Neurospora crassa OR74A: one gene and its partners. The protein of the gene in region 3 purifies or fractionates together with the protein of the main gene of each other region. This does not show direct contact. Links are inferred from orthologs where the notes say so. Each region holds a gene or a part of one and is shown on either strand. Other genes may lie near its edges. The genes, in order: NCU01614, NCU07832, NCU06622, NCU06354, NCU00210, NCU03778 and NCU02717.

Region 1 (3,340 bases), on a different chromosome or scaffold from region 3:
GAGCAAGGACATGATTTCCTGGTTCCCGATTTTCTTCCCTCTTAGGGTGAGTTTTTATCTCTTCTTCCTTCATTTCTTGTTTTTCTTGACTTTTCGCTCCTCGCTCCTGCTTTGGTGACGATTACTGACCCTGTTTCTTCGACGATACATAGCAACCCCTCTACTTCCCTCAGGACACCGAGCTAGAAGTCAGCATGTGGCGCCAGACCGACGACACCAGGGTGTGGTACGAGTGGATGGTTGAAGTGTATGCTTGGGTGGGTCCCAAGACCCGTATCAAGGTTGGCGCTTCTGAGATGCATAGCAGTCGTAAGGTTGCCTGCATTTTTGGTTAGAAGAGAGGAAATGTAAAAACGGAGGTAACTAGGTACCAGTAGGTGGTGGGCAAGGCTGGCTAGGTCGGGTGTTAGGAGTGTGTAAGTATGCAGCTGTAACAAACGCTGCGAGGAAAAGGTCAAAAGTCTTGTTTTAGCGAAAGAATAAAAGATTCGAAGTCAAATGGTGGATAGAATGTTCATAATTGGGAAGGCGCGCGATGTGTATGATGATGGTGACTGTCTTTGCCTGTAGTCGTGTGATGTATAGGCAAGTGGAAGTTGAGACTAACAGAAATTCACGCCGCTCGTTCTCTTTTTCTTTCAGTTGAAATAATACCTGGAAACCAGACGCCATGTCCGCATGTCTAACTCAACCCGCCACTTCCTTTTCTTTGCTCAGTACCTAGATGATGTGTGGTCTTGACAGATTTTTGTTTCTTTCTTTCCTGTTAAGCTGAGTATTGTTCCAACATCTTATTTTAGCCTTTATCTTCAAGGAAAGGCCAGATGGCACATGCTCCTTTGACGGTCTTGCGCAGGAGATGCAACGAAGGTCTCTACCAGACAGAGAGACGCTCGGTACCCATCCATCCATCCATCCACCGTTCACTCTCTCTTGAAGCAAATCCGCCCTTCCGTACCACTCTCCACACCATGCGCGCCCGATATCATCAAAGCTGTTGTCGCACCTTTCGTGAAGCGCACACTTTCATCATTGGGAAACGAGTTTTCGGCGAGCGGGTGCGTTGTGGTTTGTGCTTCGGTTCGGCTCGGTTTGGTTTGGTCGGTAGAGTAGATCCATCTCTTCTTCTTCTTCTTTTTTCCTCCCAGGGTATTATAGTCGGAACATCACGACCCTCCCTCCTCACACATTCCTCCTGTCTGTTCTGCAAATCGCGCCCTTCACCACCCTGCCCGCTAGTCTAGGCTACCCTTTCATTTCCTCCTCCTGGTGGCGAGAGAACTTTCACTCTTCCATCTTGACGTCGCCACTTGTTTCCGCCTCGTCGGCCTTCTTGATGTAGAGAACGTTGTTACACCTATTGTTGAAGTCCATAATGTCAGCATCCCGGCTAGTTGATACGAGATGGGGGATTGGGTCGTCCGTATGGAAAGCCGTAGCAGTGGGATGTATTCAGTATGGACGTACCTGATCAGAACCTGCCCCAAGGCGCCCGTAAACTTGCGGTTGATGTACTCCTTTGTGTCGCTGAGCTGAATGTTCATGTAGCTATCGATGCTCTGTTGTTCACATGCACACACGCATTTCGTCAGCCTCTCTCTCTTTGTTCTTCCTTCGTTGCTCCTTGGTCCTGCCTGCTGGTTTCCCCCTCCCCTCCCCTCCCCATCGCTTCCCACAGCTGTGTATGCCAAGACCAAAGTCCAGCGGCAAAGGGAAGGCTAGATTGGAAGAAAGATGCTGGATATGTATATATATACGTACAACAAGACGGCCAACATACTCCGTCTCTCCCCACTTCAAGCGGATCGTCACAAAGCTGTTGACGAGATCTTGAAGGAAGGGACGGGGGTTAACTGGGACAAAAGACATGTTGTCGGTTTCGGTTCGAAGGGTTGGTTCTTGGTCAAGTGCGTGGCGCCTTGTGTGTGTATTCACAGGCTTGCTGTTGTTGTTGTTGTTGTTGTCGTCGATGGGACGGCTCGAAAGTTGGATTCGCGATTCGGCTTGGTGCTAATGGAATTTTGTATTTGTCGGTTTTCTTAGATGTGTAAGAGTGGGTTGTGGTCGGGTGGACGCAACAAGGTCGAGGTTATGGTTATGAAAAGTTGGGAAGAGAGATGGGATTGGCGTTGATGCTATGATGGAAGAAGCTCCAACTGGGACTGTGCCTCCAATGCTGGACCTTTGCGGCGTTGGAGTAGCGCGACGATGGAAGTTCCTCTGTTACGAGGGACATGTGGAGCCCTAACGCGATAGCTGATTGGACGTGGCAATAAGCCTGTCTGATTAGTAGATTACAGGGTTAGGGTTGGTGGCTAGAGGATACTTGATGTTGTTGACAGCGACGATGATGAGCATCACCAAGACCTTTATGGCGATCCTTTTGCTTATCATTACTCAGGTACATAGCTTAGTGTATTCTTTCACTTCTTCACTCAAGTTTACCTGGTGACATCTCTCCCTGATTATTTCCGATGCCCACTTACACCTTCAGGTCAAGACCCTCGAAGACGCCGATGTTTTGAAACGAAATGGAAGGGGACTGTTCAGGACCTGACAGGAAGTCATTTTGAATTAATAAAGTCCCATACTGGGTGAAGATATTTTACTCAATCTCCTCAATCCTAGGTCTACCGCCGAACATCTCAACACCGCCACTACTTCCACCACTATCATCACCACCATGGGAAACCGACCTCTCCGGGTCGACAACCAACCCAGCCAGCTTCGTTAACCCACCACCACCGAACCCTCCTCCTCTTGCCTGGCTCAACGACACTTCATCCACCAAGCTATTCGTCTTCCAATTCTCCAAGCTCTCCAGCACATCCCGACAATACTCCCTGACCAACCCATCCTCGTCCGTCTGCTCCACATACCCCAAAATCGTCCTCAGCTGCTCCTGCGTCTCACTCCCAAACGCAATCCCCAACACCCTCCCCTCGTGCTTCGCCTCGTCCATGGCCTTGATAAAGCTCATAATCAGCCTCACCGCCGCCCTCCTGAGTATCCCCTTCTCCAGCTGCCGCTCTACCTGCACAACATTAATGCACAGATCCACGCTCGCCATCGTCAACACCGCCGCGACACCAACAATATTCGTCTCGATGCAATTCGCCAGAATTGACAACGCAGAGGCACGGATCCTTACATCCTCTTCACCCGTTTTGGAAGTACCAGACGACCACCCTTCTACAATCGCCTCCAAGATATCAAGCCTAGCCTGCTCCTCAGCAGAAATCGGATCCGCCATATCCGGCACGCTGCCGTCCCACGCGTCTTCGGCTTCTTTATGCTTCTGTTCCCGCGCCTTAGCCTCGCGCGCTTGGCGCGCCATGGT
Region 2 (4,022 bases), on a different chromosome or scaffold from region 3:
TTCTGGCCGTTCTGGATCTGGCTGATGGTGGACTCGAGTTCGTCGAAGCGCTTGTCCTTGGCGCTCTTGACCTTGGTGGTGGCTTCATCGTCGCTCTGCTCTTCCTCCTCCTCCTCGGACTCGTCGTCGCTCTGCAAGAAACGGGAGGCACCCTTCTTCTTGGTTCCTTCTTCCTCGTCGCTGCTGGACTCCTCGTCGCTCTCCTCCTCGTCAGACTCCTCCTCAGACGAAGACTCGTCCTCGGCCTGAACCTTCTCCTCCTCCTCCTCCGAAGTGTAGACCTCCTCCTCCTCGGAGCTGCTGTCGGTGGAGCTGTCGTCACCGCCGCGGAAGAAACGAGACATGGTTGCGGTCTCTTTCGATAGACTCGGAATAAATATGCGGGTTCCGGGGGTATGGGCGCGATGCAGAAGTCCGGGTTACCGGTATGGGTACTTGGAGTGGTGGACGGAAGTGGTGATGGTCCGGATGGTTGGCAAAGCAAAACCCGGCTGCGGCGAGGCGGACAGAGGGGTCAAAGAATTAATTTTCACTGAAAGGCCGTTTTGGTGGGGGCGATTTGGGGCTTAGCGAATCGAGCGGAGCTGTTTGGGCCTCGAGCGCTGTAATGATTGGGTATGACTTAATCCGAGCAAGGGGTGTGGGGGGAGAGGATACTTGCTCCGCGGGGGGGAGGCTGAACTTATGAGCTGAATGTACCTGCTTCCGCTTGGAGATCGCAGGACGGGATTCCTAGAAGATGAAGATAAGGTCTGAACCTTGCAGATGTTCGCATGAGGGATCTGTCAGAGGAACGGGTTTTTGTGTATACTTTGGCGAGCGGAGCGAGGGAACAATATCAAGCATTGCTTTGTCAGGCCTTCACTATGAGATTCAACACCTGTCGTCTGGGTACTTGGGCGCAAACAGCCAGCCAGCTGATGCCCCACCTTCAATGTATCAGCTACCTGAACTGATAATGTATCACTATACTCGGTTACATGCATCTGAGACGTGCTGTGAGCTTGTCAAGCCAGATCTACCACGTAACGGGGATTGCGTATCGAAAGTTACAGTACGTAACAGGAGACGTTTCGCCACGAAGTCGAGAAGTGACAGCCCAGCCTGCCCAGTCGCTGCAGGCAACCAACCCCAGGCCCTCTTTCACTAACTGGAGTGGCGGGGACGCTACCGGGCTGCAGCTGCCAACAAGCACCTGCACAGCGAAGAATCCCGCTGCCAGGTTTCCCGTTTTGCGCGCCAGGACCTGGACCGCCCGCCCTGACCTCTGAACTTTATCGACCGCCCACGCAGCTGTCGCGAGGCTGTTCAAGTTTTTCGTAACGAGGCCAACCTGCCAACGTCAACGCCAGCATCCTGGCGCCACCAAACCACACTTTCACGAATACAACATCCACCTCTCCATTCTCAGCTTGATCGACCATCGCCGCGATTTGGTGCGAGGTCGACCTACGCCCATTTCCATCTAAAACCAATGGGAATCTAATATTTGCCAGTCCTTTTTTCTCTTCCTCAGCGAGACAGGCCTTGGAACGACGCACGCGGACTGCAAACCGCCATCGCGCGGACAGGCGACTTCACGGTATCCAGCCTTCTATCCATCTCGTCGCCAACGCCGACTGGTACACGCTTCTGACGAAGACGATTACAACGAAACAACCACATAAACGTCAACAAAGCTTCATCAAGCAGAAATCGAAAAAATGTCCTATCCGCCACCACCACCTCCTCCCCCCGGCTGGGGCGCTCCTCCGCCGCCATCAGCACCTCCGCCGCCGCCGCCTCCGTCCTCTCTCCCACCTCCTCCTGCCCTCCCAGCACCGCCGCCGCCTGGGTTCTTTCCACCAACCGACCCTCATGTTGCCAAGTTCGCCCAGAAGAAGAAGGAATGGCTTCGCATGCAGAGAAATCGCTTCGGCGAGAAGAGGAAGGGCGGATTTGTTGAGACGGAAAAGGCCGACATGCCACCAGAGCACTTGCGGAAGATCGTCAAGGATATTGGGGATGTTTCGCAGAAAAAGTACACCAGTGACAAGCGCAGCTATCTTGGGGCGCTCAAGTTCATGCCCCATGCTGTGCTGAAGCTGCTCGAGAACATGCCCATGCCTTGGGAGGCTGCCAGAGAGGTCAAGGTTCTCTATCACGTCAACGGCTGTCTGACCCTTGTGAATGAGATCCCGAGAGTCATTGAGCCCGTCTTCTTTGCACAGTGGGCCAGTATGTGGACGGTAATGCGCAAGGAAAAGAGCGACCGCCGGCTATTCAAGCGCATGCGATTTCCACCTTTCGACGACGAAGAACCGCCCCTGTCCTGGTCCGAGAACATCGAGGACGTCGAGCCACTTGAACCCATTCAGATGGAGTTGGATGAGGACGAAGAAGCAGCAATCTATGAGTGGTTCTATGACCACAAGCCGCTTCTCGACACGCCCCACGTCAACGGGCCCAGTTACAAGAAGTGGAATCTCACCCTGCCGCAAATGGCGAGTTTATACCGTCTAAGCCGACCGTTGGTGTCTGAGGTTGTCGACAAGAACTACTACTACCTCTTTGAGCTCAAGAGTTTCCTCACAGCAAAGGCCCTGAATGCGGCTTTACCAGGCGGGCCTCGCTTCGAGCCACTTTACAAGGACATTGACCCCAATGATGAGGATTTTGGCGAGTTCAATGCTATGGATCGCATCATCTTCAGGAACCCTATCCGAACAGAGTGCCGTGTAGCTTACCCCCATCTTTATAATGCACTTCCGAGAAGCGTCCAGTTGTCAGTCCACTCATACCCGCAAGTTGTCTATACGCGCACAGAAGACTACAACCTTCCCGCTTTTTACTTTGACACGAGCATCAACCCGATTTCTTCGCGGGCTGTTGCCCCCAAGAACCTTACAGTCAGCCATGAAGATGAGATCTTTGGACCTGGCAATATCGAGGAGCCGGAAGAAGATGCGTTTGAGCTGCCCGCTGGTGTCGAGTCTTTCATGGCCGAGGAATCGCTGTATACGGATGAGACGGCATCGGCCATCGAGCTTTGGTGGGCGCCGTTCCCCTTCGACCGCCGCTCTGGACGTACGGTTCGTGCCCAGGATGTACCTCTCGTAAAGCATTGGTACTTGGAGCACTGCCCGCCGAAGCAGCCCGTTAAGGTGCGCGTCTCGTACCAGAAGCTTCTCAAGAACTACGTCCTCAATGAGCTGCACAAGAAGCATCCAAAATCTCTTCAGAAGCAAAACTTGCTGCGGACTTTGAAACAAACAAAGTTCTTCCAGCAGACAACGATCGATTGGGTTGAAGCCGGCTTGCAAGTCTGCCGACAGGGCTTTAACATGCTCAACCTGCTTATCCACCGCAAGAACCTCACATATCTCCATTTGGACTACAACTTCAACCTGAAGCCCGTCAAGACGCTGACAACCAAGGAGCGAAAGAAGTCTAGATTCGGAAATGCCTTCCATCTTATGCGTGAAATTCTGCGCTTGACCAAGCTCATTGTCGATGCCCAGGTACAGTACCGTCTTGGCAACATTGACGCCTTCCAGCTTGCCGATGGTATTCTGTATGCCTTCAACCATGTCGGACAGTTGACCGGTATGTATCGTTACAAGTACAAGTTGATGCACCAGATCCGTTCCTGCAAGGATCTCAAGCATCTCATCTACTATCGCTTCAACGCCGGCCCGGTTGGCAAGGGTCCAGGCTGCGGTTTCTGGGCGCCGGCATGGCGTGTGTGGCTCTTCTTCATGCGCGGTATCATTCCCCTTCTTGAAAGATGGCTTGGCAACCTCCTTTCCCGTCAGTTCGAAGGTCGCCACAGCAAGGGAGTTGCCAAGACCGTTACCAAGCAGCGTGTTGAATCTCACTTCGATCTCGAGCTTCGTGCTTCCGTCATGGCTGATCTGCTGGACATGATGCCGGAAGGTATCAAGCAGAGCAAGGTCAACACGGTTCTTCAACATCTTTCTGAGGCCTGGAGATGCTGGAAGAGTAACATTCCTTGGAAGGTTCCTGGACTTCCCGCAGCTATT
Region 3 (3,552 bases):
GCCGCGGTCGTTTTGGCGCCTGGACCGGTTATGGGAGGACTGGCAGCTCCCGAGGGGGTTATGCTATCTTTGGAGCAGGGACAAGTGGGTGATCATGGAGATGAGCGGGATAGGATGGCGATGCTGCCGAATGCCAAGAAGCAAAAGGGGTCCGGCGGGTTGCAGCAAACGTCCATCTTGATGTCTATGAATGGGGGGTTGCCTGCTGGTACAGGAAGCGGTGCTAGTGGAAGCATTGGAGGGCTGGCGGCGCCGGTGAATGGACTCGGTGCTGGCGGGGTTAATACCGGTATTACCAATATGGGTGTCACGACGGGTGTGGTGGGCATGTCGTCGGCTTCGGGACGACCATTTAGTTCTACTCCTGGTGTGATGAGCGGCATGAATAGGGGTATCTTGTCGGCATCACCGCCAGCTACTACGTCGGACGAGGATCCCAGCGCGCAGTTGCAGATGGAGATGAGGCAGGCGGCGTCACAGCAGTATCGGGGTCATGATGGGGATGTGGATATGACGGGTTAGTTGAGTGACTGTCCATACATACAGAGCCGAATAGACGTGTTGAATATCCGGGCGAGTACAAGACGTTAAGAGGTGTAGAGTTGCCGAATCAAAGACCATGGGCCCTTGATATGCTCGTCCTAACGTCCCTTTCCTCAAGGCCGCTCCGATTGCTGCGGTGAAATCATGACACCACTATCATGTTTCACTATCTCTGTTTCAACCCAGCAAATTTGCGCAATTTGGTATACAGTTATTTTGCAGTAAGCCCCATCTAGAACCGAACGCCGACAAATGGTAAGCTCTTTGAAGTGCCGTCCTCCCCCTTTTCGTCACCTCTGCAAGCCATCATATCACGAACATATAGCAACCTGATCTACCACGTTCGTCAGGTGCCCGTCACCTTGGTTCCTCCTTACTCCTCCATGGCATCGTCATCCTCGGCGATAATGCCAGGTGGCAGCCGTCCCTCGTTGAGCGCCTTCTCCAATCTGATGATTTCCTCCAAGCTGTCGGCCTTCTTGATCAGATCCTGCAACTTCTTCTTCTCTTTCTCTGTGAGCTTGAGACGCGAAAGTTTCGAGGAAGGACCACTGCCGGCCGCACCGTTGGCGGAGCTGGCGCCAACGTCAAAGGTCTTGCTCTTGATTCCCTTTATCTGTTTGCATGTTAGCAGGGTTGTCATGACATTGAAAAAGAAGACAAGGTACATACCGTCTTGGCCAACTCCGTCGGCTCATCAGCGGTTCCAAACAGCTCCTTCGCCTTCTGCCTCTCGGCGTCCTTGACCTTGACGTAATCGAGAAAGCGAACCTGAGGGCACAGCCAGAGGACCCAGTAGCGGTAGTTCTGTGTGTCGACAAACATTGTCAGCCATTCCGTACATTCATTCCATTTGCCACCCCCGTCTCCGATTCTCTCTCAGCCGCATAACACTGGGCGACGAAAGGGCGTTGTGTGACGTACCTCCTTCTTGGTAACGGGGTTGTCCGTCAAGACCAAGTGCGTAAGCCTTGGAAACCTTCCCAACACCTCCAAATCCGCCAGCTCGCCAATATTATTGGACGCCAGGACGAGGTTCTTCAGGTTCGGGGTCGCATTCGGTAGGGTCGACTGGATCTGGGCGATCCTGTTGCGGGCGAGCAGGAGGGTGCGTATGCGGGGAGAGAGCGGGAAGTTGCCCAGCACTTGGATATCGTTGTCGGTGAAATCAATGGCATCGTGGGGCTGTAGTAGCGACCGGATTAGCAAACTGCATTAATTGGTAATTTGGTTGAAACGGGCTACCAGTAGCAGGACTAGCAGTAGAGGAAGAACCAGGAGAAGGGAGAAACTTACCCCAGCAACGCCCAAGTTCTCAATAGCAGGTATTCTGTGTCCTATTGCATGTATCCCAACCCAACATAGGTTTTCGATATATCAACTCTGTTCTTTGTACGCGCTTTTGGAAACTTGAAGATCAACCGTGCAGTATCTGCTCTTCTCGATGGAACGCACCTCGGAGGTCTATCTCTCGCTCCTTAAGCGGATTGAGATAGGAAAGGGAGTTGTTGATAAGGTCTGCCGTCAGCCTCATTGTGACGACGGGAGTGCAACGACGACGGGGAGCTGTCGAGCTGTCGCTGCTACTACTACTGCGATGCCGGTCGGTACCTTGTGATGGTTGTTGCTGGTGGTGCTTTTGTAATACGGCGGCGCAAAGGGGCTTTGCAAACAGGTGATTAATTATTGATTACAGCCAGGAGAATTGCCGTATGTCCTGTGTTCGCCTTCGAGATTGAAATTGATGGAAGTCAACTAAAGAAGCAAAAGGTTGAAGCGCGTCGCGTGGTTCGTAATTGGTGGCTGTAGTGAAGTTACCAAAGTAGATTGACAAGGCTGCCTGCCCCAATGAAGTCATGGACAGCGCCGCAAAAAAAAAACGGACGATGTAGTAACCCTAACCCTTGCGCGTCGGATTACTTGCAAGTCGCAACCACACGGAGCTCCTAAACAGAGTCGACACGGTTTGTGTCTGAAAGACTAGGGTACTAGAGTCAGATATTATATGTTCATTTTCTGCCCTCTTGTTGGCCTAAAATGTTTCTTACTCGCTATCTCGCCAGGTTGCTGTCAAGTTTTCGTTCTACTTCTTGGTGTAAACGCTTTCACAACCACTAACCGCCCGCTATGGAAAAACCAAAACCACTTTCATCACACTCGCTCTTTAGTCCAGATCCCCAACCCGGCATCATCTAAAGAACCTGCAGCTGTAACTTTAGGGCTTGTTTCGTTATGATGCACACTATTGTGCAATTCCATTGTAACGTCACCAACAATGCTATCCCTACATCGTCTAACCGGACGTCGAATGACGCCTTCCATGCTACTCAAACCAGAAGCCAAAGTCACTGACACAATAAGCTTGCTATGTAACGCATCACGCAAGTTCCATGTCCATTACCTGGTATCACACACACACAGAATTTGCCCGACCTTGAACCAGAAGCGGGATTTAGTATGCGAATCCACACCTCTCGTCCTTTTATGCTGATAATTTGGTGCCCAAGGGTCGTGCCACTCACTCACTACTCGACGATAAGCCCCTCCAAAGCTTCCATCGCTCTGGCACCCTGCTTCTCAAACAGCAGGACCATCTCCTCGCATTCCCTCTTCAATCTCTGCTCAGCCAAGTTGGCATTATGATAGATCCACTCCTCCACGGTCATCCGCTTTTCCGGGCTCGTGAGCTCACTGCCCTTGTGCAAGAGTTTGTCAATGCCGTCTTCCTTATCGTAGTCGTTCTTGTTGGGCGAGAATATATTGTCTAGATCTGCCGCGGTCCAAGGCTTAGTGCTTTGAAGGGCACCCAGAATCGTCCGTTTGGAAGGAGAAGTGGGCCTGTCCGGTGTGGTAGCCATTGGTGCTAGAGCATGACGTTCGACTATTGGGGTCATTTGCTTCGGCGATGGGGGTCGGTTCTCTGCATTCGAGGATTGCATTGAAGGCGAGCGGTAGACGCTTGGCTGTTCTTGAGGTACACTCGCGACTGTAGGTGCCTGAGGTGTAGCA
Region 4 (2,786 bases), about 970 kb from region 3:
TGGTTGCGAAGAGCAGCATGTTCACTTTCGGGAATTTGCGTTGCGAGGTCGTAGGTAATCTGAGAATCGTGAATGTCAGCGGTGCGCGACATACAAGCGTAGCGGTATCGTCGTGATCCAATGGGTATCTGTAAGTACCTTGCCCTTCAGTGTCGTTGCTGCGAAGAGTTGCGCCTCGGCTTCGGGAGAGCCCTGCAAGATCGATATTGTGGTAGTCCAGGCCTCGTTCTACGGTCGATTGAGAAATGCGGGTTAGTCACATGCGAACCATAGGTGTGTTGGCGTCGAAGGAGCTGAAAGCCCAACTGACCGACTTCTGAAACTTTTGCAGGTAGTCCATGGCGGCCTTCTTGGAACCGGAGTCACCACTCCGCATCGTCAGCATGGCCTGCAGGACATTTGGGGTGGTGAAGCCGTCTGTGGCGCCGTTGGAAGCCATGTTGGGCAGCTTCGGATTGTGTATGATGTGATTTAGCTCGAATACAAGTGTTGTGATGGCAAGTGTTGCGATGCGGTGTTGCAAGTGGAAGCTATCGCTGGGGTATCGCAGGTCGCAAAGTGGATGGATCAGCCCCTCCTATTCGACAGGAGTGTTGTCCGACTTATCGGTCTTGCGACGCGATGGAAGCTTTCAGGATATGTTGTTGTAAAGGCGAGGAGCTGCGATGCGCACGGGGTATATGAAGCTCCAGAGAGGTTGCAAGAATAAAGGACTGGGAGGTATTGTACGGTGCCGCCGTGGTGACAGGATTGCTGCAAGTTGGAGGTTGCCGGCGACGATTTGCTCTTGAGCGTCCAAAGAAACGACGATTGAAAAACATCCCGCCAACAATCGAAGAACGTCAGGCTGCCTGACACCGACCGACCGCGAGTGGAGTAAACGGCGGCGGGCAAGCGGGTCAAAGAAAGTGGAAGCACATCCTGCACCGCCATAAGTGGGACAAGCGGGAGGGGCTCATGCTACCCCAAACTGAAGATTCTGTGGCTTGAGAACCCAAGCAGCTCGGAAAAAGTGAATTGAGCTGAATGCCAAGAGGTTATGACACGACGCTGTGGGCCCAGCAGCATGTAACTAAGTGCACAGACCAGCTGAGCAGCTCCCGTCCCGTCCCCGGCGGGAGGTGCTTGTGAAAACAAGAGCTCCACACGCCAGAGACAGACAGGCAGGCAATTCGACATTCGGGGGAAATTCATTGAAGTCACGTCCCGGCCGTAGAGAGAACGCGTCTGGGAACAACTGCAAGCCAAGCCCAGCCGACCAACAACGACCATCCACAACTTGATTGCGACTTACTTGTTCAGCCTCCACATCACCATCAAACTTCTGTCCTAAACACCGGCCAAACGACCAAACCACAACAAACTTTTATTCTCAACATGACCGGCAGAGGTGGTGGCGGCAACCGCCGTGTTCTTCTTCCTCCCATCAACTTCCTCTTCCGTCTTTTGCAACAACACTCGACCGTCCAAATCTGGCTGTACGAGCAGCTTCACATTCGCATCATCGGCACCATTCGTGTAGGATTCTCCATCGTGACCTCCCCGAAGAGCAAACATAGGTGCTGACAATTCCGTCTTACAGGGCTTCGACGAGTTCATGAACCTGGTGGTGAGTAGCGGCGCATGTCCCACTAGCACTACGAGACCTAACCCCATTTCCACAGATCGACAATGCGATTGAGGTCAAGCTGGTCTCCAAGACAAACGAGACGGAGGAGAGGAGGGAGCTTGGGGTAAGAATATGTTTAGGGCTGGACGTCGATGTTGTTGTGGCAGTGGAAAGGGTGGCTAACTGGGTCGCAGCAAATCCTCCTGAAGGGCGACAATGTCTCGCTCATCCAGAGCTACTCCGGGTGAAGAGCTCCAAACCTGAAGGAGAAGCGGTAATCGACGATGCAATTTACGCTGGGACCTACATCGAGCGACGAGCCAGCAGATCTAAAGCTGTACATAGACGGCCCACAAAGATGTGGTGCGTGGCCTTCTACACAACAAACGACACCGAATCTACGAAAGAGATACCAGGGAAAAGCGATTGGCCGAGGCGCACAGGAATGTCGACTATATGTATTTGATCAAAGGAAGGCAGTACGGGATGGATATCAGGTCATGGAACTATTTGGGTGCAGGAGGGCTCTTAATCTCGCCATTTCCGAGTATCAGGCCGTCCAGAGGTTGATCGTGGCGACCAACAGGTACCGACCCCTCGGATGGAGAGGATAGAAACTGCTCAGACAGCGCTAAGCCATAAAGCAATACAGGGGTTTCCTGCTTCCCCAGCTCGACAGACTTTTGGTTGTGCCGGTTGATGAAGTAGTCGTAGAAGCCTTTGCCGTGTCCGAGCCGTCTGATGGCCCCAGCTTCCGGGTCAATGTCGAAGGCCACGCCGGGCATGAGGATCAAGTCAAGCAGGGTTTGGTCGGAGTGGTGGGCGTCGGGACCTCCAAACACCCTCTGCCGCTCATGGACCGTGGCCGGGTCGATGCTGGGAATGCCCCATCTGTCTGGCTTGAGGGACTCATAGTCGTGAAGATCTCTGAGGCGGACCATGTCCATGACGCGGGCTGGGAGGTTGGGCGAGGCCAGAGGGTTCTTGTGAAGATACGGGATGAAAACCTCCTTGCCGGACTCTAGAGCGTGCCTGACGATGCCATCGGTCTGGATCTCGCCCGTGGGCATGGACAGGAACACGCTGACCCGTTTGGCGTCTACGTAGGGCTTGAAGTTCCTCAGAGTGTTGAAGACCACAGAACCTGCAATTGCGGATTTAGTCTGCGCTGGCAGTA
Region 5 (3,320 bases), on a different chromosome or scaffold from region 3:
GGGGGTCTTCTTTGGTAAGCGACTACCCTATGTTGCAGTTGCGCCAAAGGTTCTACCGGAAATGCTAATCATGTCGCGGCAAACAGGAAGATCCCATGGCGCATGTCCAAGTTCCAGAAGCTCAGGCAGCGCCGCAGACTGAGGGCCGTTGACAACGTCGTCGCCACCATTGAGAACGCTCTTGCCAAGAAGGGTGAGACCGTCAAGGCGGTGGAACGCTGGAGGGCTGAGATGCCCACCGAGGCCGAGATGCTGCCCAAGGACAAGTACACCATCTTCGACCGCAAGGAGAAGAGGTACCGCAAGGGCATCCACAGTACGGGCCACCCTTGTGCATCACTTCACAGCAGTCAAAGACCAAGGCTAATACGGCATTCCTTTTCCAGAGCTTCCCAAGTGGACCCGTGTGTCCCAGAGAGTCAACCCTCCCGGTTACTAAGACCTTCGACCCGGACGATGGACGATATCGTGCAAGCATGTATATCACTTGTAACATTACGCAGCGAAATGGCATGGGTGACATTGGAGATACCGCTAACAGGACCGTTTGCTTGGGGCAAAGAAGAGGAGGCCTCCTGTCTCGTCTCGCAAAGAGACTGACTGACTTGGAGGTCCTGTCCATCATGGACACTCCTGCTCGCTCCATGTTGAGATACCACTGCAGAGAGCAGCGCAAACACGGCCAGGCGAGCATCACAGAAGAATGTGTGGAGCCATACCGAATGGATGGGAAATCAATAATTTCCCGAAATACCATAGCAAGATACCAATACAACAACGAATATCATGTCTTCCAAGGGGGTATTTGTCTTTTACGCTTCTCTGTTCCGCCTCCACTTGCCCTGAATGAACAAAATTCGTAATTTCAGAGCCGGCTTGCATATTTTGTGTCGATTTGTCATGACGACTGGTTGAATATCTGTGCACTGGATCATGATGCACTCCCTCATTGTCCCACGTAACTCCCATGCAATGACAACTCTAGCGCAAGCGGCCGTATTGTTCGTCGTTATCGTCGTAGCGCTTGTGGTCATGCTCCCTCATTCTCTCGGCCTGGATTTGCCGGCCAAGACCACCGCGGCCCTCGTCGTAGTCCTCACGGTACTCATCACGAACTTGGCCGCCCGACTTTCCACGGCCGTACTGTCGCCCTTCCTCGAAGCCTGGGTCGAGATCGGTTCGGATGATGCGCTCGTCCAACTTGGTGCCGCCAATGTACTTCATGCAATCGAGAGCGTCCTGATGGGTGTAGTATTCGACGAAGCAGAAACCGCACGGTGTCTTTTGTAAGCGATCGAGGCCCATGACCAAGCGCTTGATCTCGCCGCATTTGCTAAAGAGTTCGTAAACCTGTTCTTCGGTAGTGTAGAAGGAACTGCCGAGGTACATTCGGTTAGTTCTTGTTTCTTTTGATTTTTTTTTGATTTTTTTAATTAAGGACTGGCAGCGTGGGGCAAACTTGCAGATTGCCGACGTAGAGCGTGGTCGCATCCTTCAACGGGTCATCGAACGCTTCGGGATGCATGTTACTGTCTTCGTTTTCTCCATCGCGGTGGTCCCGGTCGTGACGTCTGTTGCGCCTATTCTGTGTTGAGTGGATGGGTCAGCGGTCGACGGGGTGCTAATTATGGACAGGAGAGATTGGCAATGTTTGGGCATGGAAATGCCGTCAGGAGCACTCACCTTGTTGAAAAAGTATGCACTTGGCCTGTCAAGGCGCTCTACGGTGCTCCTTTGGCGAGTGTTCAACATGGTTACCTGGTAGTGAAGATGGATTATCTGCTCTTGGGTGAAAGGTGCCCTGCAACTGCGAAGAAGAAGGAAAATCAAAAGCTGTCAGCCCAAGTGGAAGTTCAATGGTTTGGAGTTCTGAGACGTCGATGGGGATGATGCAGTGGTTTCCCTTGCCAATGGAATTGGACCTACCTAAGAGGTAACTTAGGTTGCCCGCTAAAGTGGAAGTACAGGCGCAGCTACTTTCTGAGCGCGACTGGTGTGCCCGTGTACCGCGACAGCAGCACTGCAGGCTTCGTTCACAGTTCAGTTCAGCTCAGGTCAGTTACACTTAGTCCTGTTGGCGCACAGTGTCACAGTGCATCGGACATCACTGCATGGCAATCCAGGTAGTCTTGGCACTGTAACGGGCGACGGAAGCCGTTGGTGGTGGGTCAGGTACCCTATCTTACGAGGTGCCCGCAAATATGACGACGGCAGGCAAGGGCAGAGCGATGGAAGCAAGGGCAGGAGGACTTGGTGGAGGCGCTTTGTCGTTGATCCAACAACCATTGCCAGCCGATTGGACCGCAATCTGGCACCCAATTTACAGGCGCGTCACAGCACAACTGTACCTACCTCGGGCTTACCATTTATAGTATGTATACAGCTAGGTCTCCGTTAAGACCTCCATTCGGCCATTCCATCCCCTCTCATCCCGGGCGGCCTGCCTGTCTCCTGTTGATCAATGACCGATGGTGTGAGACGAGGCGGCGAGCACGGTCTGGACTGAACACCGGCGGACAGTTGAAACGGACTAAAGGGCTGTGGAAGGAGTGGAAACGCGCTAAAATGAAGCTAACACGATCGATCAAGGCAAGCAACGGAAAATATACGGCATAGGCACGGAAGCGGACGCCTCTAGTGACGCCCTGGACGCCTCATTTACAGCACTGGCTCGGACTGGACAATAGTGGCATCCAGCACTCGTCCATCCACGGGCATCCATCAGGTCCGTAGCACTACACGCTAGTCAAACCTTGTTGTTACCATCCTGACCAGCCAACCGAGACCACTAGCAAACTTCGCTTTCCTGGCTTTTTCTCCCATGGGATCGATCGAGGGGCCTGCCACTTCAAAAAGGGATCCCAATCTCTCTCCTTGTCTTCCCTCCCTTGGCTTCTGTTCTACTTGCTCTTGATCACCTTTTTTTTTTTTTTTTTTCATCTTCAAAAACCGAGAACCGCCATCACATTAATAGTACCGGTACATCAAATACATACGTACCTCGACCATAGTGCGCCTGCCTACCTACATAGCCAATTACCTCCCCACCTACATACATTACTTCAGCAGAGAAAGCGAAGTGCAGCACGACGACAAAAACCGGCCCGTGCATGCTAGGACATAGCAGGACCTCAACACAAGCTACTATTTCTGCCTAGCCAGACACCAACTTCGGTTTTCATTGCGCCACACGAACCACCGTCATCTGTAGGATTCATCAGGCTCGAGTTGGATAGTATAGCGACAACAGACAGCTCTTAGCACAAAACCACCAAGCACAGTCGGGATGCCCAAAATCCGGAGCTTCTCGGCGCCCTGGC
Region 6 (3,398 bases), on a different chromosome or scaffold from region 3:
GTCGGTGGAGGGGAGTCGGACAAGAAAGCTGCTGATGAAAATGCCTGGGCCGCAGCCCTCAAACTGAGCTGTGAGGCCCTGTCCAAGTACACGCCCGCTCGTCCCGGTGACCGCACCCTGGTTGATGCCCTCTATCCCTTTGTCGATGCGCTCGAAAAGACCGGTGATGTGAAGAAGGCGGCCGAGGCTGCCAAGCAGGGAGCTGAGGGCACCAAGGGTATGAAGGCCAAGTTGGGCCGCACCGTCTACATTGGCGGGTCCGGATTCGAGCAGGTGCCGGATCCGGGCGCTTGGGGATTGGCCAAGTTCTTCCTTGGACTGGCTGGAATTGAAAAGGCTGATGATTCCAGTGCTAAGCAGGCCAAGGGATCGGATGATGGATGGGAGGAGGTTACAAGAGAGGCGGAATTGCCGTAAGAATTGGTGCTGTATGTGATCTCGATATACCCCTAGGTAGTTAGTTTGCACCACCATTTCAATGACGTACCAGGAACACCAATACAAATCATCCCGTTGCTTGTCGTTAAAAAGCACGAGAAAACATGACCGCGTCTGCGAAAACCTAAACACGGTCTGGGTATTCTGTTCGATCAAGTTACCAGAAATGAAAGATAAAAAGTTAAACAAAACCAAATACACGTTTGAACGCCGAGCTCACACTAGTTTTCCCTTTGTATGACCTTCCTAATAGCCCCTGAAAATCTGCTTGGGTTTCTCTTCTTTCCTCTCGTTCCTGCGCGGCGCCTTTTCACGGGGCGTTTTGAATTGCTTTCGTGGTTGTGTCGTCATCATGGTCGATCGAGCGGTTGAGTAGTAGTAAGGTGATATAGTCCGCATGTCTCTCGATTCAGTCGACCAACAATAGGTACCCTTCCCGGGCTCATCCCCACTCCATTCGAGCCATTAACCCTAAGTTGTGCTGGCGCGTGTCTTCGCCGTGCAAGTGAAATAAACCTCCAACCTATACATTTTGCCGTGCTATTCGTGAACTAGCTGAGGAGGACAAGGATGACGGAGTCGCCTCTCAGGAACCTGCCAGGAAAGTGAAACATGTCAGCCATTGATCTTCGCTTCTCCTGGGCGAGAGAAACAACAGATGAAAAGGAAGTGCACAAACATCTTGCTGATAAACCTGTCCTTGTTTACGGGCTTGCCCTTCTTGCCATTGGCCAGTCGGGGCGTCTCGGTCCACATCTCCTTGACGTTCTCCAGCACCATGTTCATGTGGCGATCGAAAGCCTTGACGCGCGCAAGGATCTTGCGCCCATTGCGGACGGAAATGAGGACTTGGGAGTGGCTGCGGACGGCGGTCTGGAGGATGGACTGCCAAAAAGGGTGTCATATTAGTCGCTGCTCCGTGTCGAAGGGGTGGTAGATCAAGGCTTATGGGGCATATGTACCAGAGGACCGGCGGAGAACTCGTGCTCTTCGAGGAGAGAAACTTCGTATTCACTGTATCAGACGAGTTGGTTAGCTTTGTGATTTGGCTGGGCGGGCGTCGTGGTCTTGGGTCGCAAAGAGGAGGAGCTGGGAGCAGCAGGGCGGGCGAGATGACGATGGTAACAGAGGGAGGTGATGTTGACAAGAGGATATAACGTACGTAAGCTCATTGCGCGGCTTCGTGAGAAGCTCCCTGTATAGTAGACAGTTGTTAGTCAAGTTGGTTTCCTTGAAGCGTCCATGGGCTGCCCGCGCACATGGGTTGATGCTGGAGAGTGGGATAGCTACTGACTGAATCTTTGCATCCGCTGAAGCCATGACGATGGTGTTTTGGTCTAGAGTTGAATTGGAGTGGTACTGAAATGTAGGAGGGGCAAATGAGTTGTAGTTTTGTCTTTGTATCAAAAATGGTTGTTGACGTCGAGTGGTTGCTTCGCGTGGTATGGGTTGGTGGTGTACGGTAGAAGCCTGGACAATAGTTGCTGTAATGGATGCTATCGCTATCTTCAATCCACGACGGGAAATGTTGCAGCAGCGGAGGGCCAGGCGCGGCGGCGACTCGGAGCGTGGAGCAGCTACAGCACACGCGCCAAGCTTTTCTGGGAACAGAACCGTCTTCAAAGTTTGGCGATTGGATGACAAGCTCACGGTGGATCCCAATGCGAAAGGCTGAGGACCGCTCCGGTGACAGGTGCTGCCAGCCCCGCCGAACCCGACATGCTCCCCCGGACAGCCGGGACATCGGGTTTCCAGTGAGCGGAGGGCCCGAGCGTCGCTTCTGGAAAATGACAAGTTTGAATGGATAGAGGTATCATCGGCCGGAGGATATTCCAGCTTCTAGCGATAGCGGCGGGGATTCGGCAGGTTCCACAGCTACCTCTACACTATGTATTAGCTCCCCCGTACCTAACCCCGCCCCGGGGATTGCCAGGCGCGGTGCCCTTGAAAATCAATTGAAGCTGGAGCTCCATTTCGCGTTGAATTCCAGCAAAAAGTGGATTTGCAGATACTCTCGCTATCACTTATCACGGTTCCTGCATCCACGCGGCATTCAGATCATTGGTGATTGTTCTCCCGTTTTCCCTTTCCCAGCCCAGGAAAACGAGTCCCGAAAAAAAGTGCCCGAGTCCCTTGGCCGGTCTATGATGCAACAACGGTGCTAAACAGCCTCGGGGTGGATTTTGGACTTAGTATTTTTCTTCCATATTGACCCTGGGTCTTGTTATTCCATTCCTATTCTAGACAAAGCCAGCCAGCCAGCCAATTACCGAAGTGTACATCGATGTTGGTCTCCAAGTCCATTGCCAGCCGCGCCGGCTTGGCTTCTGCTGTTGCTTCTCGCAGCTGCCGACCAAGCTTCACCGCGATGCCGCTCAGAGCCAAAGTCCTGGGCCAGCAGGCCCCAGTAAGACGCTCCTTGGGAAGACAAAAGCCATGGACACGGACACAGCTAACACGCTCGCCGCCCCCTCCTCCCAGATCTCGACCCAAGCCGCCGCCGAGTTGTTCAAGCCCGTCGAGGGTGACGAGCCCGAGGATGTCCTCTTCAACAGTCTATATAATCTCCGCTCCGTCGAGCTCAACCGCCCAGCCAAGTACAACGCCCTCAATGGCTCCATGATCCGCAAGATCGCGCCCCGTCTCCTCGAATGGGAACGCTCCGATATGGCCAACGTCATCGTCATCAAGGGCTCCGGAGAGAAGGCCTTCTGCGCCGGTGGTGATGTTGCCGCGCTGGCCAAGCAGAACGCCGAGGGCCCCGAGGGCGTCAAGAAATCCGTCGACTATTTCGGCCTCGAATACAAGCTCAACCACCTGATTTCCACCTACACCAGGCCTTACGTGGCTTTCCTCGACGGCATTACCATGGGAGGTGGTGTTGGTCTCAGCATCCACGCCCCCTTCAGAATTGCGACCGAGCGCACTGTCTTCGCCATGCCCGAGACCAAGATTGGCTT
Region 7 (4,174 bases), on a different chromosome or scaffold from region 3:
ATGATGATGATAATGATGGTCAACAGGTTGGGTTTTATGAGGATGATGAAGAAACAGATCAATTCCGAGAGGTTGAGAGAATGACAATGATAAACAATGTATGCCTCTTTGCGAATTCTCACGATATATGTATAAAGAGAAGGCCGGTAGTCAGTTTCTTTCATGGAGATAAACGATACTTTTTGGACCCACGAATACAATGTGCTGGAAATCGACGTCAAGACCACCATGAGATTCGACGGCCGAGGAAGACCTGATATCCTCAGAGTATCCCAACATGTACAAAGCCGTATTTAATCGTACGGGATATGGAACAACCTACCAAGCAGTTGGTTAAAATATAATTCACACCTTTCATCAAAGTATGGGGTTTCTATCGTGGTTTGGGCTTTTTATGTGATCTTTAATACCGAGAACAACTCAAGAGGTATATATGTGTGGGAGTAAAGATCCGCACCATATCGGTTACTGTATTCGGGGGGAAAAGTTTATGGGCTTCTTGGTCTGCGGCCTAATATAACATTGCATCTCCTACACTAGCTGCTCCCTCCCTGAGCCGCTTCATCGACAGCAGCGCCACCAGCACCCCCCGCGGCCTGCTGTTTCCAAGCATTCGCCATGGCCAACAGACTCGACAAGTTCTTGGTCTGCTGATCATCAGCCGGGAAGATATAATCGACATATTCCTCCCAAGTATCATCCTCCAGCTTACGCTTCTTCTTGGTCTTCCTAGGCATTTGTTTCTGAATCTTTTCGATATCCTCCGCCGACCCATGCGTCTTCTCAAACGCCAACCACGCGTTGAGCAGCGACACACGCTCGGCCTTGAGCTCGCGCTCCTTCATGCTCTTGTGCGCCCTCTCAAAGATCTTGCGAGCACGTGCCTTGGCCTCTTCGCTAACAGGCTTCTCTTCCACCTCCTCCTCCGTTTCTTCCTCCTCCTCGGCCTCGTCGGGTATGTTGATCTCGAACTGGGCGTAACTGATCCAGACCTTGGGGTGATCGGCCTTCTCGAGCAGGCGCTCGTACAGGGCACGCGTCCGCTCGTACTCGCCCTCTTCTTCCTCGAAATCGATGTACGCCTTCCATACCACCTCGGGCATGTCCAGGATCGGCTGCGAGACAGCGAGCTCGAAGATGGCGCGGGTGCGCTCGAGATCGTCGAGACCACGTTCCAGCTCGGCCCACTTGATCCATGTTTGGCAGTTGGCCGGGTTGTACATGACATGCTTTTCGTAGAGGGTGCGGCAGCGCTCGAACTCGTAGAGCTTCTGCTCGAGGAGGATGTACTCCTTGAAGATCTTGTCTTTGGGGCACATGCCGATGGCGCGGCCGAGGGTTTTGCGGGCCGTCGTTAGTTGGCCCTGTCGGATCTCGAAGTGCGCCTTGGCAACCCACACTTTGGCAAAAGTGAACTTCTTGTGGGGGATCAGGTTCAGACAGGTGTCGTAGATCTGACGGGCTCGCCCGATATCCTTTGTTTCCCTCTCCTCCCATATCGCGTAAAAGAGGAAGAGGAAAATGTACCGCCTCCAGTGTCGCTTCTCTTGGGTTGGCGGTACTTGAGCAATGGCTCGCTCGTAGACTTCTCTGGTCCGATCGACATCTCCTCCGCTCTCCTCGAGTCGCGCAAAGTCAAACCAGACGTCGTAGTTCTTTGCGTTCTCCTTGACTTGCTCCTCGTACAATCTCCTCCTCTTTGTAAGAATGACGTCCTCCACACCCTCCTTGTCGCCAAACTGCTTTTCAAATGTGGTGTAGTGGGCATGTAGCGTCATCGACTTGGACCGAGGCAAGTTGTCGAGGCCAAACTTGTAGATGGCACGGGCCCGCTCATACTCACGCAGACGGGCCTCGTACCGGGCGAAGGCGATGAATATCCTCTCGTCAACGGCATCGTCGCCTAGCGTTTCGGCAATTGTCTGGATAGCTGTCTGGAAGACCTCGCGGACCGTGTCGCTGGTCCCGTATTCCTCTTCAAACTTGGCCCACTTGAGCCACGTCCTCGGTTCCGGATGGACGGCGGTAAAGGCCCTGAAGATCTCCCTTGCCCTGTCGAACTCGCCGTAACGTTTCTCTAGACGGATATAAGCACTCCACGCCTGCTCATCTGGCTGCCACTTCATCCACCGGTCGAAGACTTGTCTGGTACCCGGAATGTCGCCGAGCATCTCCATAACGTAGAGATACTGGTACCAGAGAGATGTGACTCTGGGCAGCCGCGTGACAGCGCGGTCCAACAGATTGCGTGCATGGTTGATGTTACGGTTCTTGATCTCTGCTTGAACGTATCGGATCCAGAGTTCTGTTGGACATATCGTTAGCGACTGATGTGCGCCACATTTAACAGCACATGGACACTTTGAGTTTAGACAAACATACGAGTATTGTTGGGATGTACATCCAGAGCGCGCTCGAACACAGAGCGAGCCCGCGCAAACTCCTTCTGTTCTAGCTCCCATTGAGCATACTGGAGCCAGTTCGATAGACGAACTCGGTTACGCCGCACGTAGTCCTCAAACTCCTTGCGCTTACGACCTTGGTATTCCTTGAGCTCCTCGAGGTCGGCAAAGCGCTGTGTCGGGGTCTGGAGGTTGACTTCCTGGCGGTCGACGGCCTCGCGCAGCAGCTGCTCGGCCGAGATCTGTACAGGCGCAGGGGCTTTATTCTTCACCCGTGGCGGGCCGCGCGATGACTCCATTGTGAAGATGGGCGTAAAAAGTGGCGATCTGCAGATGTTGGCGTGGTGTTGTAAGTTCGGTTTCTCAATGAGATTTTGGGGTCTGGACGCAACAGCAGCCAGCCACTGAACTCAGTTGAGGACGCGCTGCGATTGATGGACCGTGGCTCGATGCCCCTGCCTACTTACTGAACCTTGCTGCACAGTGGGTATGGACACTTTTCGCTCATCATGTCATTGTACATCTGATAGGTAGTACATGTCCGACCTCAGCGAGCAGGTTCGCCCATAAGACGACGCTGAGCCGCTGGAAGGCCGCTGTATTGGGTGTGGCTGCGAACTACGCCTACTTGACACTATCTACTCACTGCACTGGCAGCTATCGGCGACATACCAAGCCGCACTGTGTACGACCGGCAGGCAAAGCACTGGCGCAACGAGGTCAGTACAGTACGCTAGGCCGTGATGCAACGCCGCGGTCTCTTGCCTCCATTCTTCCCAAAACCAAAACAAGTCGACAACACATCGAACTCTTTTCCATTCTTTCTTCGGCACACGGCAGCTGTTGTACCTGTATCAGCGACTGTCCCGTTTACTCCTGAATCTAACCACCTTGAGACCCGAACAGTCGCCGAATATTCTGCCCAGGAAACAGGGTTTTGCCAACATGTCGTCTACTCTCGACGAGCTCCTCCAGGACTTTGAGGACTCTGGCTCCGAGGCCGGTGGCGAGGAGTATGGCGATGGTCTTCTAGGCGATGGCGTTGACACGACTGGAGGCTCCGGCGTGGACGACGCACATGTACCGATCAATGATGAGGATCAAGATGAAGGCATGGGCGACGAGGAGGGCGAGGACGAAGACGAAGCTATGGGTGGCGTCGGCGCCGACGACTCGAATGCTGTAGAAGATCCCGAGGAAGCAAAAGCCAAGGTTGAGAAGATGCATCTGGGAGGAGTGCGAGATGTTCGAACTGTTGCGACTCTTATGAAGTCATTGAAGCCAGTACTCGAGGTTAGTTCCCTTATACCCGTTTGCGGTGCTCCCTTTGAACATGGAAAAGCGTTTACATCTTATTTGAGCAATAGCCCTGACAGTCTGGATCGAACGTTGCAGAAAATCGCACACTATCAAGCACAACCCGCTCAGGCCAACGACGTCGGCCATGTCGAAGATCACCCGGAATACAACCTCTTGACCAACGCCAACAGACTGTCTACTCTGATAGACAGTGAGGTGGCCCTTGTCCACAAGTTTGTGAGGGATCACTTCTCCGCCAGATTTGCTGCACTCGAGTCGCTATTACCGAACCCAATCGAATACTGCAAGGTTGTTGCCATCTTGGGCAACTCCCCAATGGACTCGGAGAGCATGAAAGCGTTGCAGCTTTCCACCGATAACCCTCTGGGGTTAACCCTCAAGTCAGTTCTTGACGGACCAACCTTGATGATTGTCACGGTGGAAGCCACGGTTTCCAAGGGTCAATTTCTGGG

Evidence for each region.
Region 1: the proteins of NCU06622 (region 3) and NCU01614 purify together in Saccharomyces cerevisiae (affinity purification with mass spectrometry; 4 studies listed by BioGRID). This does not show direct contact. The link is inferred for Neurospora crassa OR74A from reciprocal best matches to the Saccharomyces cerevisiae genes LEA1 and SMX3.
Region 2: the proteins of NCU06622 (region 3) and NCU07832 purify together in Saccharomyces cerevisiae (affinity purification with mass spectrometry; 5 studies listed by BioGRID, with this or other methods). This does not show direct contact. The link is inferred for Neurospora crassa OR74A from reciprocal best matches to the Saccharomyces cerevisiae genes LEA1 and PRP8.
Region 4: the proteins of NCU06622 (region 3) and NCU06354 purify together in Saccharomyces cerevisiae (affinity purification with mass spectrometry; 4 studies listed by BioGRID). This does not show direct contact. The link is inferred for Neurospora crassa OR74A from reciprocal best matches to the Saccharomyces cerevisiae genes LEA1 and SME1.
Region 5: the proteins of NCU06622 (region 3) and NCU00210 purify together in Saccharomyces cerevisiae (affinity purification with mass spectrometry; 3 studies listed by BioGRID, with this or other methods). This does not show direct contact. The link is inferred for Neurospora crassa OR74A from reciprocal best matches to the Saccharomyces cerevisiae genes LEA1 and CBC2.
Region 6: the proteins of NCU06622 (region 3) and NCU03778 purify together in Saccharomyces cerevisiae (affinity purification with mass spectrometry; 6 studies listed by BioGRID). This does not show direct contact. The link is inferred for Neurospora crassa OR74A from reciprocal best matches to the Saccharomyces cerevisiae genes LEA1 and SMD2.
Region 7: the proteins of NCU06622 (region 3) and NCU02717 purify together in Saccharomyces cerevisiae (affinity purification with mass spectrometry; 4 studies listed by BioGRID). This does not show direct contact. The link is inferred for Neurospora crassa OR74A from reciprocal best matches to the Saccharomyces cerevisiae genes LEA1 and CLF1.

What each region holds. Positions count from the first base shown.
Region 1 is NC_026502.1:2,951,812-2,955,151, reverse strand, and holds NCU01614 (hypothetical protein), read right to left. Parts: upstream 2,181-3,340; 5' UTR 1,870-2,180; coding exon 1,762-1,869; intron 1,560-1,761; coding exon 1,468-1,559; intron 1,358-1,467; coding exon 1,285-1,357; 3' UTR 501-1,284; downstream 1-500. Other genes in the region: pp-2 (protein arginine N-methyltransferase HSL7), read left to right, coding at 1-46, 153-335; NCU01615 (hypothetical protein), read right to left, coding at 2,606-3,340. UniProt on the Saccharomyces cerevisiae protein: Plays a role in pre-mRNA splicing as a core component of the spliceosomal U1, U2, U4 and U5 small nuclear ribonucleoproteins (snRNPs), the building blocks of the spliceosome.
Region 2 is NC_026503.1:1,005,865-1,009,886, forward strand, and holds the start of NCU07832 (pre-mRNA processing splicing factor 8), read left to right. Parts: upstream 1-1,222; 5' UTR 1,223-1,703; coding exon 1,704-4,022. Other genes in the region: NCU07831 (eukaryotic translation initiation factor 3), read right to left, coding at 1-344. UniProt on the Saccharomyces cerevisiae protein: Functions as a scaffold that mediates the ordered assembly of spliceosomal proteins and snRNAs. Required for association of BRR2 with the spliceosomal U5 snRNP, and the subsequent assembly of the U4/U6-U5 tri-snRNP complex.
Region 3 is NC_026504.1:1,833,587-1,837,138, reverse strand, and holds NCU06622 (U2 small nuclear ribonucleoprotein A'), read right to left. Parts: upstream 2,377-3,552; 5' UTR 2,078-2,376; coding exon 1,999-2,077; intron 1,881-1,998; coding exon 1,840-1,880; intron 1,729-1,839; coding exon 1,468-1,728; intron 1,351-1,467; coding exon 1,216-1,350; intron 1,160-1,215; coding exon 917-1,159; 3' UTR 523-916; downstream 1-522. Other genes in the region: NCU06623 (hypothetical protein), read left to right, coding at 1-522; NCU06621 (hypothetical protein), read right to left, coding at 3,069-3,552. UniProt on the Saccharomyces cerevisiae protein: Involved in pre-mRNA splicing. Associates to U2 snRNA in a MSL1 dependent manner and is required for normal accumulation of U2 snRNA. Required for the spliceosome assembly and the efficient addition of U2 snRNP onto the pre-mRNA.
Region 4 is NC_026504.1:2,807,242-2,810,027, forward strand, and holds NCU06354 (small nuclear ribonucleoprotein E), read left to right. Parts: upstream 1-1,208; 5' UTR 1,209-1,377; coding exon 1,378-1,518; intron 1,519-1,582; coding exon 1,583-1,609; intron 1,610-1,664; coding exon 1,665-1,733; intron 1,734-1,803; coding exon 1,804-1,857; 3' UTR 1,858-2,115; downstream 2,116-2,786. Other genes in the region: NCU06355 (karyopherin), read right to left, coding at 1-59, 139-228, 311-439; NCU06353 (hypothetical protein), read right to left, coding at 2,116-2,753. UniProt on the Saccharomyces cerevisiae protein: Involved in pre-mRNA splicing. Binds and is required for the stability of snRNA U1, U2, U4 and U5 which contain a highly conserved structural motif called the Sm binding site. Involved in cap modification.
Region 5 is NC_026503.1:3,018,652-3,021,971, reverse strand, and holds NCU00210 (nuclear cap binding protein subunit 2), read right to left. Parts: upstream 1,944-3,320; 5' UTR 1,753-1,943; coding exon 1,684-1,752; intron 1,586-1,683; coding exon 1,464-1,585; intron 1,376-1,463; coding exon 982-1,375; 3' UTR 501-981; downstream 1-500. Other genes in the region: NCU00211 (mitochondrial ribosomal protein subunit L31), read left to right, coding at 1-14, 87-316, 387-439; NCU00209 (hypothetical protein), read left to right, coding at 3,287-3,320.
Region 6 is NC_026505.1:2,382,505-2,385,902, reverse strand, and holds NCU03778 (small nuclear ribonucleoprotein Sm D2), read right to left. Parts: upstream 1,971-3,398; 5' UTR 1,759-1,970; coding exon 1,733-1,758; intron 1,634-1,732; coding exon 1,601-1,633; intron 1,453-1,600; coding exon 1,401-1,452; intron 1,324-1,400; coding exon 1,118-1,323; intron 1,033-1,117; coding exon 990-1,032; 3' UTR 501-989; downstream 1-500. Other genes in the region: dak-1 (dihydroxyacetone kinase 1), read left to right, coding at 1-417; NCU03777 (mitochondrial 3-hydroxyisobutyryl-CoA hydrolase), read left to right, coding at 2,723-2,845, 2,920-3,398. UniProt on the Saccharomyces cerevisiae protein: Plays a role in pre-mRNA splicing as a core component of the spliceosomal U1, U2, U4 and U5 small nuclear ribonucleoproteins (snRNPs), the building blocks of the spliceosome.
Region 7 is NC_026501.1:3,299,894-3,304,067, reverse strand, and holds NCU02717 (pre-mRNA-splicing factor clf-1), read right to left. Parts: upstream 2,801-4,174; 5' UTR 2,702-2,800; coding exon 2,383-2,701; intron 2,306-2,382; coding exon 537-2,305; 3' UTR 333-536; downstream 1-332. Other genes in the region: NCU02716 (pre-mRNA splicing factor), read left to right, coding at 3,348-3,695, 3,798-4,174. UniProt on the Saccharomyces cerevisiae protein: Involved in pre-mRNA splicing and cell cycle progression. Required for the spliceosome assembly by promoting the functional integration of the U4/U6.U5 tri-snRNP particle into the U1-, U2-dependent pre-spliceosome.